2 linked regions of the Tamandua tetradactyla genome follow. The protein of the gene in region 2 purifies or fractionates together with the protein of the main gene of each other region. This does not show direct contact. Links are inferred from orthologs where the notes say so. Each region holds a gene or a part of one and is shown on either strand. Other genes may lie near its edges.

The links.
Region 1: the proteins of STRADB (region 2) and CAB39 purify together in Homo sapiens (affinity purification with mass spectrometry; 3 studies listed by BioGRID and IntAct, counting the BioPlex papers as one, with this or other methods). This does not show direct contact. The link is inferred for Tamandua tetradactyla from reciprocal best matches to the Homo sapiens genes STRADB and CAB39.

What each region holds. Positions count from the first base shown.
Region 1 is NC_135329.1:206,623,578-206,630,628, forward strand, and holds the start of CAB39 (calcium-binding protein 39), read left to right. Parts: upstream 1-4,041; 5' UTR 4,042-4,151; intron 4,152-4,474; exon of another isoform or gene 4,475-4,983; intron 4,984-7,051. UniProt on the Homo sapiens protein: Component of a complex that binds and activates STK11/LKB1. In the complex, required to stabilize the interaction between CAB39/MO25 (CAB39/MO25alpha or CAB39L/MO25beta) and STK11/LKB1.
Region 2 is NC_135329.1:175,947,755-175,955,152, forward strand, and holds the start of STRADB (STE20-related kinase adapter protein beta), read left to right. Parts: upstream 1-4,378; 5' UTR 4,379-4,661; intron 4,662-5,819; 5' UTR 5,820-5,900; intron 5,901-7,398. UniProt on the Homo sapiens protein: Pseudokinase which, in complex with CAB39/MO25 (CAB39/MO25alpha or CAB39L/MO25beta), binds to and activates STK11/LKB1.

The DNA of each region.
Region 1 (7,051 bases), about 31 Mb from region 2:
GTTCACACTCCAACGGGGGAGTAGTTCTGGTGTCCATTGTGTGGAACTGAACAAGTGATTGCTGAAACAGAAGGAAAGTGAAGGTCACTGAGCTAATGTATTGGATGAGTGACACTTACATTGCCCAGGAGACGTCAGGTGTGGGGTGGGGTAGGGAGGGAAGCTATGAGTCAGGCTCCAAAGTTCTTTTGCAGAAGGTCTGATTAAGGCAGGGTGGAGCTTCCACACTTTCCAGCTTCAAAGGAGGAGAGTGAGGGAAATGAAAGCAATAGACCCCTTCCACAGTCCAACTCAAGGAAAAGGATCACCCTGAGCTCCACAGGCACTGGAGATCCAAGGGACTCCATGTGAGATGAAGAGGTGGAAGAATATTTTAGAAAGAAGTTGTGCCTAAAAATAAATATATTATTAATAGAAAGGCTTTCCAGAGAGTCCCATAGAAAGGTTAAGAAGGTCCCAGTGTAAATCCAGGTGGTCAGATGATGTGGTTCCTTCTGTTTGATTTCAGAACTTGTTACAAAACCCTGCTCCAGAAATTTGTACTGTCTTGCTGTCACAATTCCCAGCTGTGGTGGATTTATCAATGTTAAGGGATTAATCTGGAATCCTACTCTGATCCATAGAGCAAAGGAATCAAGGCGCTGTATATAGGATTTATTCACCCCCGTGCACTCTTTTATGTGGTGGGAAATTGGATCATGACTTGTTTTTGCAGAATACAAGTTACATAAATCCTCTTTGGGACTGCAGTTTAAAGGACTTTCCTCTTTTTAGAGAAAAGCAGTGGGGTAATGTCTTTATGGAATAAATTTTCAAAATTAGGTATCACTTGTGGTATACCCATTTCCCATTTGAGGGTGTACACTTTTAGTAGAGAGGCAGGAGAAAGCTCCAGTAACCAGCAGCTCCCCACCCCCACCCCATCCCAGTCCAATTCCCCACCCTCCTCAGAGCTTTTTGTCACCTGGTTTTTCTAATAGTTGTCTAATATACTTGAGATACATTGTGCTTGGTTAGGGTGGTTTTCTCTTTTAATATGCTGATGTCTTTTCTTATACGTCATGATTTTTCTTTATTTAGGTATATTTGGGGTCAAGATTATTCTAGCTTAGATGGATTGTATGGTGTGTGAATAATAAAACTGCTTTAAGAATATATCCTAATGTTCTTTTTCTTCTTCTTCTTCTTCTTCTTTTTTTTTCTGCCTTTATTGAGTGTTTGGTATCCTGGCAAGAATAAGAATAATCAACTTCACCTTAGAGCTTTTTCCTTCTTAGAGCTCTTTCTTTTTCTGGAGTGATGCAAATGTTCTAAAAACAATCATGATGATGAATACACAACTATGTGATGATATTGTGAGCCACTGATTGTACACATTGACGTACGGATTGTATGTGTGTGAAGATTTGTCAATAAAAAAATAATGACCCTGGTTGAATCAAACTGTTCACCTTCTCATCCCCAACCTTCCCAGCAAAGTGTGGCTGGTGAAAAGCATAATAACCCTGTGACTGGCCCTTCTTTACACCTTCTCATCTCTCCTCAGACTTCTAACACCTCCTCCCCCTCCATGCTCTGGGCTGATGACCTTGCTTCCTGTTTCAAGAAGAAAATAGAAGCCCATGGAAGGGAATTTCCACACATTCCTGGCACCATGTCTACATGCCTCCTGGCTCTGTGCCCACACGCTGCATGCCCTCCAAGGCCAGACCCTCCACTTGGGCGCTGCATGGGTTCTTCTCACACACTCAAGGACAGCTCTCCAGAAAATGCCCCCCCACACACACAGGTCTTCCCTCACCACTGAATCATTCTCATCAGCATTTAAGCATGCTATAATGTATTCCATCCTAAAAGCAAAAAAAATCAAACAAAAAAATCAACTTTGACCTCTTATTCCCCTCCCAGCTACCACCTGATTTCTCCACTGCCCTTTAGAGCAAAGCTTTGACACTCATGGTCTCTCTTTCAAGAGGCTTGTTCTTTCTAGAGAGGTTTCTAGGTCTCATTCTTTCTAGAGTCCATACCAATCAGGTTTTCCCACCCACCTCTCCACTGAAACAGCTCTCACTAGTTTTACCTAAATGGTGCTGAAATCAATGGCCAATTACCAATACCTGGCCAACTCCCATTACCTGTTGGGCAGTATGGATCCATCCCTCTTCCTTGAAAGGCATCCCTGTTCTTCCACACATCAGGCTTTCCTAGCCATATTCCCACTCTGGTTCCTTCTTACAATCCTCTGCTAATTCCTGTTGTCAACTTGACCTTTCAATATTGAGGGCTTCAGGCTCAATCCTTGGCCTTACTTCCAAGATTTCACCTACTCTTAGGACTCTCCAGGTCTCCAGGCCTCTTCCCAGACTTCCATATCCAGTTTCCTCTTGGGTGTGTCAGAGGCAGTTCAAAATTAATATGCCCCCAAATGAATCCCTGAGTGCCTCCCTTCACATCTGTTCTTGCTTAAATCTTCCCATTTCACCAAATTGCATTAGTCTAGCTGGTTGAGACAAAAACCCTAGAAATTGGCAAAACACCTTCTAATTGAATCTAGAACCTAAACACTTCTTTACATCTCCATTCCTACCACCTGGACCCATCCCCTTCCTTTCTTGAATAGATTATTTCAACAGCCTTCTAACTGGTCTCCCTGCTTCAACCTTTGGCCCCGTTAGTCTAGTCTTCACAGCCAACGTGATGCTTTTAACATGTCAGACCACATCCCTTTTCTGCTCAAACTTCTCCAAACAGCTTCCCATCTCATTCAGAGTAAAACAGTAATAATAATAAAGCCCTTATTTGGTCTCCATGGCTCCTACTCACCCACCTACTCCCTTCTCCGCTCACTGAGGGCACTTGCCTTGCTGGCCTTCATGCCGCACCTCAAACTCTTCAAGCACAGCTGGCCTCAGAGCTTGGGTCCTTGCTATTCCGCCTGACTGTCCATATGCTACCTTTGGGTAGATGCTCCCTGTAGAAGCACAATCAATAAAACAAAACTACCCATTCTCTCTCCTCCTTAGCCTGTGTCGGTTTACTCAACAGTACTTAACACCTTCCAATAACACCCATGTACTGGTTTGTGTGCTTACTGTTTTGTCTCAGACACTACCCGTTTTGTTCACTGCCCCACCACCTAGTAGAACAGCATGTGGCCCGCAGCAGGTGCTCAAGAGTTATTTCTTCACTTATGCATTAAATACTACCAAAAGCAAAACAAAGACACCAAAATTCATGTTTGTTATTTTTACGTCAGAGCTTCTTTGCAATGCATTATCGCGTTCATCGGGAACTAAGACACCAGGACAAAAAACAGCACACAAAAAATACTAAATGGTGGAGCTGGGATTTACAGCTAGACTGTTGAATCCTAATAATTTGGAACATAACATCACTTTCTACCCTCTTTTACGGAGGATGCTAAAATGAAAACGATCTATGCCTTGAAGTATGAGGGGTTCCGTCTGTAACAAAGTCGGCCCCTGGCTTTTAGCAGAAATAGTTAAGAGTTGAGGAAGTGGTAGTTGAAAGTGGGGGTGAGATGCCTTCAGGAAGAGTGCTTCCATAGACAAGCGCTGCTGTGAGCAGTGGGGAACACCAGCATTTAAACCGCTGATGAAAGAAGCCACCTCCTCTGCTTCTTTTCTCTGCGTCCCCTCGCGCCTCGGCCTCGGCGCACGCGTCCCCCGCCGCCCTGAGTCCGCCCCGCCGCCCGGGGGCGCCCGAGACCAAAGGGGGCGTTGCAGCGCTGCCCGACGTCGCGCCCTCCGCGGCTGCGCAGTGTGCGCGTCAAAGCCGGGCTCGGGCCGGAGTGGGGAGCGGCGCGGCCTGGAGAGACTGAGCCTTCGGGAGCCGAGGCGGAGACTAGGGAGGCGTCAGGGTCCGCAGCCGCAGCCCGAGCGAGTGCAGTAGCGCGGCGGTCGCCGCGGGAGTCCCTGCGCCGCCGTCCGCTCGCGCAGCCGCCGCCGCCGTCGCCGCCGCCGGAGCCAGTCTCCGGGAGCAGGAACAGGCGGAAGACAACGGAGGGGCCGAGCGCCGGAGCCGCGCCGCGGGGACCGAGCGAGCAGCCCAAGGCGGCGGCGGCCGAGGACGGGGACGGCGACGACGCGGAGGCGGAGAGGGAGCCGCCTGGCCCGGCCCAGCCCAGCCCCGTGAGTGACCCCAGGCCCGGCCCTGCCCGAGGCGCGGACGCCCCTTCCGCCTGCCCTGCCTGACCGGCCCCGGGTCTGCCTCCATTTTCTCCGGCGTCGGCGGGAGCGGCGGGGCCCGGCCTGCCCTCTCCGCCCCGGTCCGGGTCCCTCACGGAGCCGTCCCCCCTTGCCTTCTCCGGAGCGGGATGCCTGGGGCCTGCGACCCGGGGCCCTGGGAGCCCCGCGCTGTCCTGCCATCCCTCTCCGCGGCTCCCCAGCGCGGCCAGCGGCGTAGGGACGGCCCCGACCCGAGTCGGGAAGGCTGGGAAAGTGCGGGCCGGGCCAACTGTCACTCCCACCGCACTCGGGGCTCCGGGTACCTCGCTCCCTTCCCGTCCGCAGCCAGGCCCCTAGGAAACTTCCTGTTATCGGGAGGCAGACACCGCCTTTGTAAACATCATTTCAGAAAAATGCCTGACTGGTTTCTGGTTAGGAATTGTGCCGTCGGAGCGTTCCCGAGTTTGGTTGAAGCAGCCTGACTGCCGACTGTGCAGGCGCGGTAGTCGGTCGGCGCCGGGGGATTCAGAGGTGAACCCAACCTCACAGTCCCCTTCCCTGAGGAGCTTGCGCTCTGGTGTGGAGATAAAACGAGTGCACAAATAACCCTGATACCAGGAAGGAGGTGTAAGTCCTGTGCAAGAGCTACAAAGTGCTAGAAATGCACGCAGGGAAGACGGAACCGATCGATCACTTCCGCCTAGCAGGAATCTGCAAGGCTTCCTGGGCGAGGCGGTGCCGAGCAGGGTTTTGAAGGCCGGATGGGATTTAGGAGTGAAGTGGTGCAGATGCGACGGTATGTGGAAGGGTAGCCAAGGGAGAGGACAAAGTAAAAAGACATACTGTAGAAATAGTGGATAATTCAGTCTGTTGCCTACGATTAGAGAGGAATTCTGGGGCCAGATCCTGAGTGCTGTAGAGGGGCTATGTGAGTTGCATTCTAAGAAAAACATAGAGCTCATTTCTCAGTGACTCATGAGCCCGGAAATGTAGAATAAGGATGTTAAACTCGGGCCTGAGGAAGAAGAGGGAGAGGGAGGCCCAGTCAGAAGTTGACATTCTATGCCTTGAACATAATGAAATTTGAGCTCGATTTTGACAGTTTCCCGGATATTCAAGTAACTCCATGTCCAGACTAAGCAAAAAACCTTGACTAGACATCAGATTCTTAAGAAGTAATGGAAAGACGCGTGTTAAATAAAGCTCATCTGCATATAGACATTGCTTTTGGTGCCTTTACAAAAATGCTTCAAAAGTTCTTGCACTATACTATGTTTCGGTAGCTAAACTTTGAAATTACTGCTCTAAACTAAACTACTTCTTTGAGATGGCATTTTTGTAAAACAGCCTAAAATATTCTTGGATAGAAATTTGTCCATAGAAAATTATTATAGGGAAGGACAATTTTTTTGTTAGGTTTTTGTTACGAAAATCTTTATAAGAGAGGCAGAAGTGAAAGCTTTTAACTCTATCTTGTGCGGTTTTTTTCAGGTTACTTACCAAGTAATTTAGCAACTGTATTTGAATTCTCAATTATATGACCTATGGAAAAATCTTAGAACCTCTTTTGGTTTGTAAGTACTTATAGCTGTTTGCTTGTATGACAAGTGAATGTCGGTTTACTTTTTTCAGTTTAACAAAAAAGCTTTCTGACTATTAGGTGATGCATTATATTTGTAAAAGGCCTGCATGTATGCAAGTACTGGAAAATAAAACGAAAATTATCTTCTGTAATCTTGCGGTGTAGGTTGGGTTACTGTTAATGTTTTTGTATATTTCCTTTCCAGTCTTTTCCTGTATATTTTTCTTTACATATTATATAGTGCATATATATATATATATATATATATATATATATATATATATATAATTCTTACATTATGCTTTTCTTTTGGTCATTAAATAACTTCACATAAAAATAGTTTTACTCAAGCAAGGGAAGTTGTAAGTGTTTTTTGTGTGTCGTCCCCCGCCGGACAGAGTAGCATTGTTTACTTCAGATGAAATGCTGCAGTTGTATTTAATAACTGCTGTTGAGGACAGAACTTTTTTTCTAAAGGATTATATTTCACTATTAAATCCTCTAAAATTTGGATCCTTTTGGTTATTTAATAAAGTGTTCATTATTTGACAGGATGCATGCTTTCAGGTATGGAATAGAGCACACAGATATCGATGTGAGTGGAAGAATGAAAAAAAAAGCATTCTGTTATAAATATTGATTTCATGGCTAGTATGGTATCTCCCATATGTTGTAATGCAGTTCCCCTTTCCACCCCGTGAAAAAATAGTCATTATACTGGGACCATCCATATAGGTCAACGACTTTTTGGTCATAATGCCGCAAAGATTGACTAGATGTATTTAGTTTTTTCATTGGTAAAATATCAATATTTACTATATTTTTAGTAAAATATACTAAATATGATGAGTGATTTGTCTAACAAAAGAAGATTTTTGTTTTTTTGTTTCAAGGCATGTCAGTTTAGGTCAGCAATTCAGACTGCAGATTCTTGTATTAAGTTTAAATTGAGAACTTTGTGTTCTAAAACTTATTAATGCTGTCCCTGTTTCTGTTTCTAATGACATGTAAAGTGAGATGCCAAGTTAGACTATAAATTTTCATAAAGTTAATATAAAAGAATAGCTGAGAAAGCCTAATTTAAATATGGAGTTTGGCTTTATTTGAATCTTTTTTTAAAATTTAGTATTATTATTTTTCTTTTTGCATGGGCAGGCACCGGGAACCGAACCCAGGTCTCTGGCTTGGCAGGCGAGAATTCTGCCACCGGGCTACCATCACGCTGCCCTATTTAGATCTTTCTCTTTTCTTTTTTTTTTTTTTTTAACATGTTGCTCATGTG
Region 2 (7,398 bases):
ATGTAAGTGGGTTCCTCAAGGATGGGAAAATTTGGATAGTGAGAATGGAGGTATCGGTTAGATAAAGGGGGAAAGACATTTAAGGTTAAAACTAATCAGCAGACAGAGTCAGTTTGGCAAGAGTGAACAGATAAATTTGAGTAGGAAGGATTACAGACAGGGTAATTGGAGATTTATACTTGATTAGTTCAGATTAAGAACTCTAAACTTTAACCTGCAGGGAACAAATTTCTAAATGGAAAGTGACATTCGAGAGAAACAAATCTGGAGACAGAACACAGGACAAATTTTAAGACTGGAAGGACAGAGACAGAAAAAGAACTAAGAAATTCTATCGCAGCATACCTGGATGATTGTAATATAGGTTAAACTAGGTAATAATAATGGAAACAGAAGGTTTTGTGGGGCAGTGAAGGTAGGGCTTGTTAACTGATAAACTAGATAATGGAAGATGAACTTTATCTTCTCCTAAGAGATATCTACAACATTTGGTATATACCTCAATCATTCAGGCTTGAAACCTCACAATTTCTTTTGCTTCTCATTCCCTGAGAATTTTCTTTCCCAGACATTTGGAGCTTTCCTCAATCTAGTCCCAACTGACTTCTCCAACTTCCTTCCCCAGCCACATAATACATTCTAGCCCCAGAAAGGGGCTTTCTGTAGACAGACAAGAAATTCACAATCCCATAATTTTTTTCATACTACTTCTTATACTTTCAATGTCCTCTCTCCCATCTACATATCCAAATTCTAGACATTCTTCACATCCCAGCTCAAATATAATCTTTACCATCAAGCCATCCCAGAAGCCCCAACTCAAAGCACTGCCCTCTCCATAATACCCTCCATTTTCCTCGAAAACACTTATTTTTTACTTCGGATTATGGTTGTTCCTCATCTCCTCTGATAAGCTGTACACCCCTTAAGGTAGATACAGCCTTTTTTTCTTGTATTCCCTCTCCTTCTTTCATTGGTAAAAATCCTAATAAATATTATATGGCAGCAGTACAATAAAATGAGTAAGAACACAGACTGAAACCAGACTGCAGCCAGATTGCTTGAGTTTGAACCTTAATCCTATCATAAACTTGTAATGAGACCTTGGGGATATTTTATTGTAAAATGGAATAATAATGACAAGTATTACATAAGGTTGTCAGAGAGTTTGTAAAGATCTTAGAACAGTGTAAGCACCACAAAAGCGTCTATTATAAATACATAAAAGCACTATTTAGAGAAGAAAAACACTTAAATATTCCGTTATTTCACTAAAGCTTTATGATCTACGGGAAGCAAAATGCCAAAAACAAGGCCATTCTCTAGGTACAAACAACTATATACAAATTTTTCCTAAATCTTATTTATGCTCTAAGGGCAAGCTAATTAGTCTCCACACCTCCAGTTTTATCCCTTTTAACCGTTCCCCAAAAGGATAAGAGAGTAGTCTTTCTAAAATGCAAACATTTTTCTACTGCTAAACGCTCTCTCAATTCCAGTCCTTTTGGATAAAGTTTAAATCCCTTAACAGCCCATACAAAATCTTCCTAATCTGGCCCCACTCTAGTCTCTGACTTCATCTTTAAATATTTTTAATCTCCTCCCCATACCCCAAAGTTTTTTTGTATATCATTACCTTTGGCTGCAATACCCCTTCCCTCCTCTTCTCTGTCCAGACTATTTCCCATTTGTTTTCCCAGACTGCCCAAGCCTTGCCATCCAGGCTGATTTCAGTCCCCTTTCTCTGGGTTCCTATAACACTCTTGTACACTGCTCTCTGTACACAGATCTCTGCACACTGCTATCATATTGCTTAACACATGATCACATCTATCTTTCTCTCTTCAGACTGCATTACTTAGGAGCAGAAGCTATATCCCTAGCATCTAGCACCGTGTTTAGACCTTGAAGAAAACGTCTGCCTTTTTACTATTTTGTAACTTTCAGCAAGCCACTAAATGCTGAGTTTCCTACTCTGCTTAAGTTATTGTAAAAACAAATGATGTAATTATATAAAAGTGCACAGTGTAGGTTTGGTACACAGTTGGTGCTTAAAAAATGAACAAGTAAAAATTCTGATATTACCTAGGCTTGCAATCCAGCTCTGCAATTTACTCTCTGAGTGACTTTGGGCACAATAACTTATCCTTTCTTTCCCTCATTTGCTTACTTACCAAACACTTCACAGCACTATTATGATGATTTATTTAAATGGATCTCTACACACATTATTGAATAAATGTTTTTTATTGTTATCACAAGAATACTCCAGATCTAAATACCTATGATTGGGAACCATGAATAATTTCTGACTTTACTGAGTCATTTAAATTTGAGCATTACCTGAATGCCTCAGATTTCTTACTGATGAACAAGATAGTAACTAAAGAGCATCAAAAACTGGTACAGATGAAAAAGAAAAAAAAACTGGTACAGATGATGTAAACAAAGCTCAAAATAAACATGAAATAATATATTATCATTTGTTTCATTCTTTATATTTGTGCATCAAAAAAATGTTTCAAGAAACAAGTTTTCCTACCCTCTGTGATTTAGGTGTTCACCACTTTTAGTGAGGAAAAAAACTCCTTGGCTTATATTTTTAATTGTAGAACCACATATAAAATCTTAGAACTGGAAAAGACCTTTAAGATGAAAATCCAAACCTGTGATTTCTTAAATAAGTGAACTGAGATGGATTTGGAGTGGATTTTTACCTACTTAATGAGCAGCTCAGAGGAGGACAGAAATTGCAGCCAGAGGGAAAAACTTGTATATTTCAGGAAGTCCTACATGTACTGGAGCCAGTATTAGGAAATAACGCTGGAAAATATTTTTTAATCAATCTTTAACATCAGTACTTCTGACTAAGTACAGGTTATTTGACCTGCAGATTTGAAGCAAGACAGAATGAGGTTTGAACTTCACTTGCTATAAAAGCAAAGTCACGAGGTTGTTTTAGTTAATGAAGGGAGCTCAAGTAGTTCACAGTTGGGGTGCCTAGTAAATTTAAAGGATTCAAATATGGGTTCTTTTTGATCCCTTCCATTGTATGAATAAAAATAATATATGGGAGGGAAAAAAACAGTCTCTCATATAGTATGTGCTCGCTAAGTGTCTGAGACTTGTTGAACATTACTTAATTTTAAAAATAGAAGCCAGATAACTGCTCAAATGATAGGTCTTCATCCCTGCCCTTCCTCACCACCAAATGTCCTTCACAATTTTTCAAATGTCCTGTCACCACCAATGAGATGCTCTTTGGAAATCAACGTAGTTCAGAACTCCAACTAAAAAGCAAAAATTTGAAAGTCGAGAAAAAATACACCAAAATGGAGTAAAATCTGAAAGTGTCCCATTTCGTTTTGTTTCTAACAGTTCTAGAAATCCAGCTTAGTGAATTTCCAGTGAAAAGTTACATTTTCCTGCGTGTAGAAACAGCAAGTCTAAATAAAAGGTGAAAAGGCAAGTAATTGAGGCCACCTCTATTATTATGACCTCAAAATATTTTAAGTATTTGGGAGATAATCTTCATACAAAAAAAAAGAACATCTGCCAAAATCCATTATTTACGCTTGAAACTAAAGCCAACTGTTCCCGTTCTTAAAAGATACATGGTGCCTGAGACAAAACCAATCGCTCGAAAAGTCAACTCAACGCAGGAAGAGCTCTTTTAAATACCCTCTCCCTCTCGCTCTTATTACAGATGGCGAACCCGGCTTAAGGTTTAACTTCCAGGCACCGAAGCCACTCATCGCTCAAAGCCCGGGCTCCAGATGGATACTGTCCGGCGAACGATGAGCGGCTGCCAATCCTTAGAGGTGCAGCTGGAGTGAACTCGGAGACCAGAGCCCATCGCCCATCACTTTCCACCCACACTTGGGAAATGACCCACTTCCCCCCACAGGGCGGGGACCCGGCAGGGACTCAGCCCTCCCCACCCAGCCTCCGGCCCTACCCATATTCCGCGCGAGACCTCTGAGGACCCGAGGCTCCTCCGCCCTCGGGCAAGATGACAAGGGCAAGTTTGAGTCATGCGTTGGAAGGTTACTCACGGGAATGGCCTGGCGTCCTCTGCCCACCGCCTGTGCTCGGTCAGAGAAGTCCCTAAAGCGTCCGCAGAGTAAGAGCAGTTGCTGGGGTTACTGCCATGCCGCTAACCACCCGGCGTAGCAGGAACCTGCAGGCGACTTCACAACATCTTCATTCACCGACCTCGGTTCTGCAGCAACACCCAGTCAATGGCAGCCCCCACACAACTGGCGAAGCGCGAAAGAAACCCACTGTCCCAGCAGCCTCCACGGCGCCCGCACACGACCTGCTGGGAATTGTAGTTTCCTGTGCGGCCTGCCCCCTCACCATCCAGACTAGCTTCGGGCCCGCCACGCCCCCAAGACCCGGGCACCGCCCCTTCGCTACCCGATCCTGGGGCGGAGGCGGGGCCACGACCCGGGGCGGCTGGGGTGAGGCAGGTCCCCGCGGGTTGCCTGAAGCTAGGGCAGAGTTCCAGGCGGACGGCCCTTGTCCCGGTCGCGCCGCCCTTCAGTGCCCCGCGGCCCATGTAGGGAGCGGGCCTAACGCCTTGCTTCGCCCCTCCGCTGGTCCGGCTCCCGGGCCCGCCGACCGCCTGAGAAGAGTCGCTGGCCATGGTCGCCGCCAGGGTAATGAAGGGAGGAAGGGGAGAGGTGGTTCTGGGAGCCCGTCGGGTTAATCCGCGCAAGGCCCCGGGGAAGTTCGAGGCCAGCATTTGCTGATCCCGCGAGTCCGGCTCCGCGTGGCGGGCTCCCCGCGGTGAGCTGCCAAAGAGCCCCCCGCAGCTCGGACTCGGCGGAGAGTCCTGGGCCTCCCGCCCCTAACCCCCACTTGGTGGCGGAGGCACCTGCGTGCCCGGTGGGCGGTACCTGGTGGGCGGTGCCTGCCGGGTTGGCCGGGTCCGGTGTGCGGGGTGAAGCCGCGGGTAGTGCTTTCTTCACCCAACTCTAGCCTTTGGCCGCGCTCCAAAGCCCAAGACACCCTCTGGCTCGGGCTTTATATCTCAGGCCACCTTTTGCGAGTTCGCTACAAATCGCCCCAAAAGCTGGTCTAGGAGGGAACCTTTTACAAAATTAAATGCCCAAGCATCGTTTTTGTCTTCGGTATTTAAGTTCAGCGTTGTATTTCCCCTCGGGAGCTTGTTGTGTTAAATACTTTTTCCTCAAAACTTGATCTTGTTTTGTGACACGGCGCCTGCCTAACTAATTGCTTGACACACAGTAGGTGCTCAATAAATATTTGTGGAAAGAATGAGTCACGATACCAAATTTGGAAAATTCTGTCTAGCTGTGTATTGCTGTAATTTTTAAGATCTTATGGGTTCCCAAGATCACTTTGAAAATTATAGTAATTTTGAAGTTCAACAAAGAGACAAGTTCTTTTGCGTTCCCTGTAACAGTGGTCTCTGTTGAATTTTTTTTTTTAATGTGGTAAGTTATTGTTGCTTTTATTTATCTATAAGATAAATACTTACTACATAAAGCAGTCCTTGCCTGAAATTATAAATACCCTGTACGGGGTTAAAGAATGAATTTTTCTCTTGAATATATGTACGATTTAGCTTTGTATAAAACATGTTTTTCTCATTATTATACGGCGTTTATAAAGATGTCTTAAGATTTCAAGTCTAAGAAATCTGTGGTAAGAGCTTTTAGAACTACATTAGTTGAGGTACACTTTTAAATATTGCTATACACATATTCTATAGCCTGAATCTATTTAACTTGAACATTAGATTTTTCTCTATTGTTTTTGTTTTTCTACTATAATATGTCCTGACTGTGCAGCAGAGGTTCCTGACTGAGGGCAACTTTGACCCCCAGGAGACACATGGCAACGTCTGGCATCATTTTGGTTGTCACAACTGGGTGAGAAGGGAGATACTGGCCTCTAATGGGTAGTGGCGGGGGATGCTGCTAAATGTTTTACAGTGCACAAGGCAGTCCCCAAAACAGTTATCTGGCCCCAAATGTCACCAATGCCAAGGTTAAGCCCGTGTTATAGAGTATGACACAGTTTCCATTTTACAAATAGCCCCTCAGTCCACTGTAATTCTGAAAACATTCTTTGCTAACTACCAAGAGCATTAAAAGATTTAACCTAATCAATATAAATACCTGCTCATTACCAAAAGCAATGATTAACTTTAAATTTCAAATGATGTTCCAGAATAATTAAACCACAAAATCAACTAACAATGATAGAGATTACATATATCCTAATATATATGTTTGGATATATATTAATATGGTATTATATTAATATAGCATAATATATACAGTATGTATACTAATATATATTTTCTTAAATCTGCTCTACTAGTTTAATCTGTTAATAATGAAAAGTTACTTAGCAGTGTTTTGAGGTAACCATGCAAATAGCTTTTTCACGTTTTCCTGACATGATTTCAAGAAAGCAATCAATGATATATTAAACACTTGAGGGGGTGCAAGGTAATTCAGTGGTAGAATTTTCGCCTGCCATGTGGGAGACCTGGGTTCGATTTCTGGTTCATGCACTCCCCCCCCAAAACAAACAAAAAATTCAACAAATGGTGCTGCACTGATGGGATACTAACATGGAAAGAGAATGAAATGTGACCCCCCCCACCATACAGTATACAAAAAAAAGAGGAACTATGTAAACCTCTGGCAAATAGCAAAGTGCTGTACAAGTGTTCTGAATATATGTATCACAACAATATTAAAAATGAAGGGCTCCACTTATTCAAATTTATCATGAGCATGATTTTCAATAAGTTAAATTTATTTGTATTCAACTTTACAGAAATGTCTCATGAATGGTTTATTTTACAAAGAACAGTGCATATGAATGGGGTATTTGACATAAAATTAAGAAGTCAGTTGTCTTTTTCACCTGATTTCTAGTTGTTAAAGTATCCATGTATGAAATGAGAGTTTTCTGAAAAGAGAACCAAATTTTTAAAAAATCATTCTGAATTTGCTATATAGAAATTCTCAGTAATTTACTATTCATCCCCACTTTCACATTTTATATATTTTCTCATGTTCAACAAACTGAATCAAATGATTTAAATGATCGTTTCTGTAGTAATATTTTTATTATTACAGGAATAACAATTATAATTATTATTTCTGTAATAATTTTAAACCATGGAGTTATCTTACTTTCACCACTGGCTGCTTTTATCAGAAATTCTTCTAGTACTTCCTTTGACTCAACAATTGCTTTTAATCTCTTTAGGATCTGGATCCAAAGTTACATTCTTTCTCACAAACAAAATGTAATCAATTTCATGTTCAGCTATCGTTAGATTGAACCTTGTAGTGAATTCATGTTGCACAATTTCTTCTGGAGGAACCTCTTCCCTGGCAGTTCCTAATT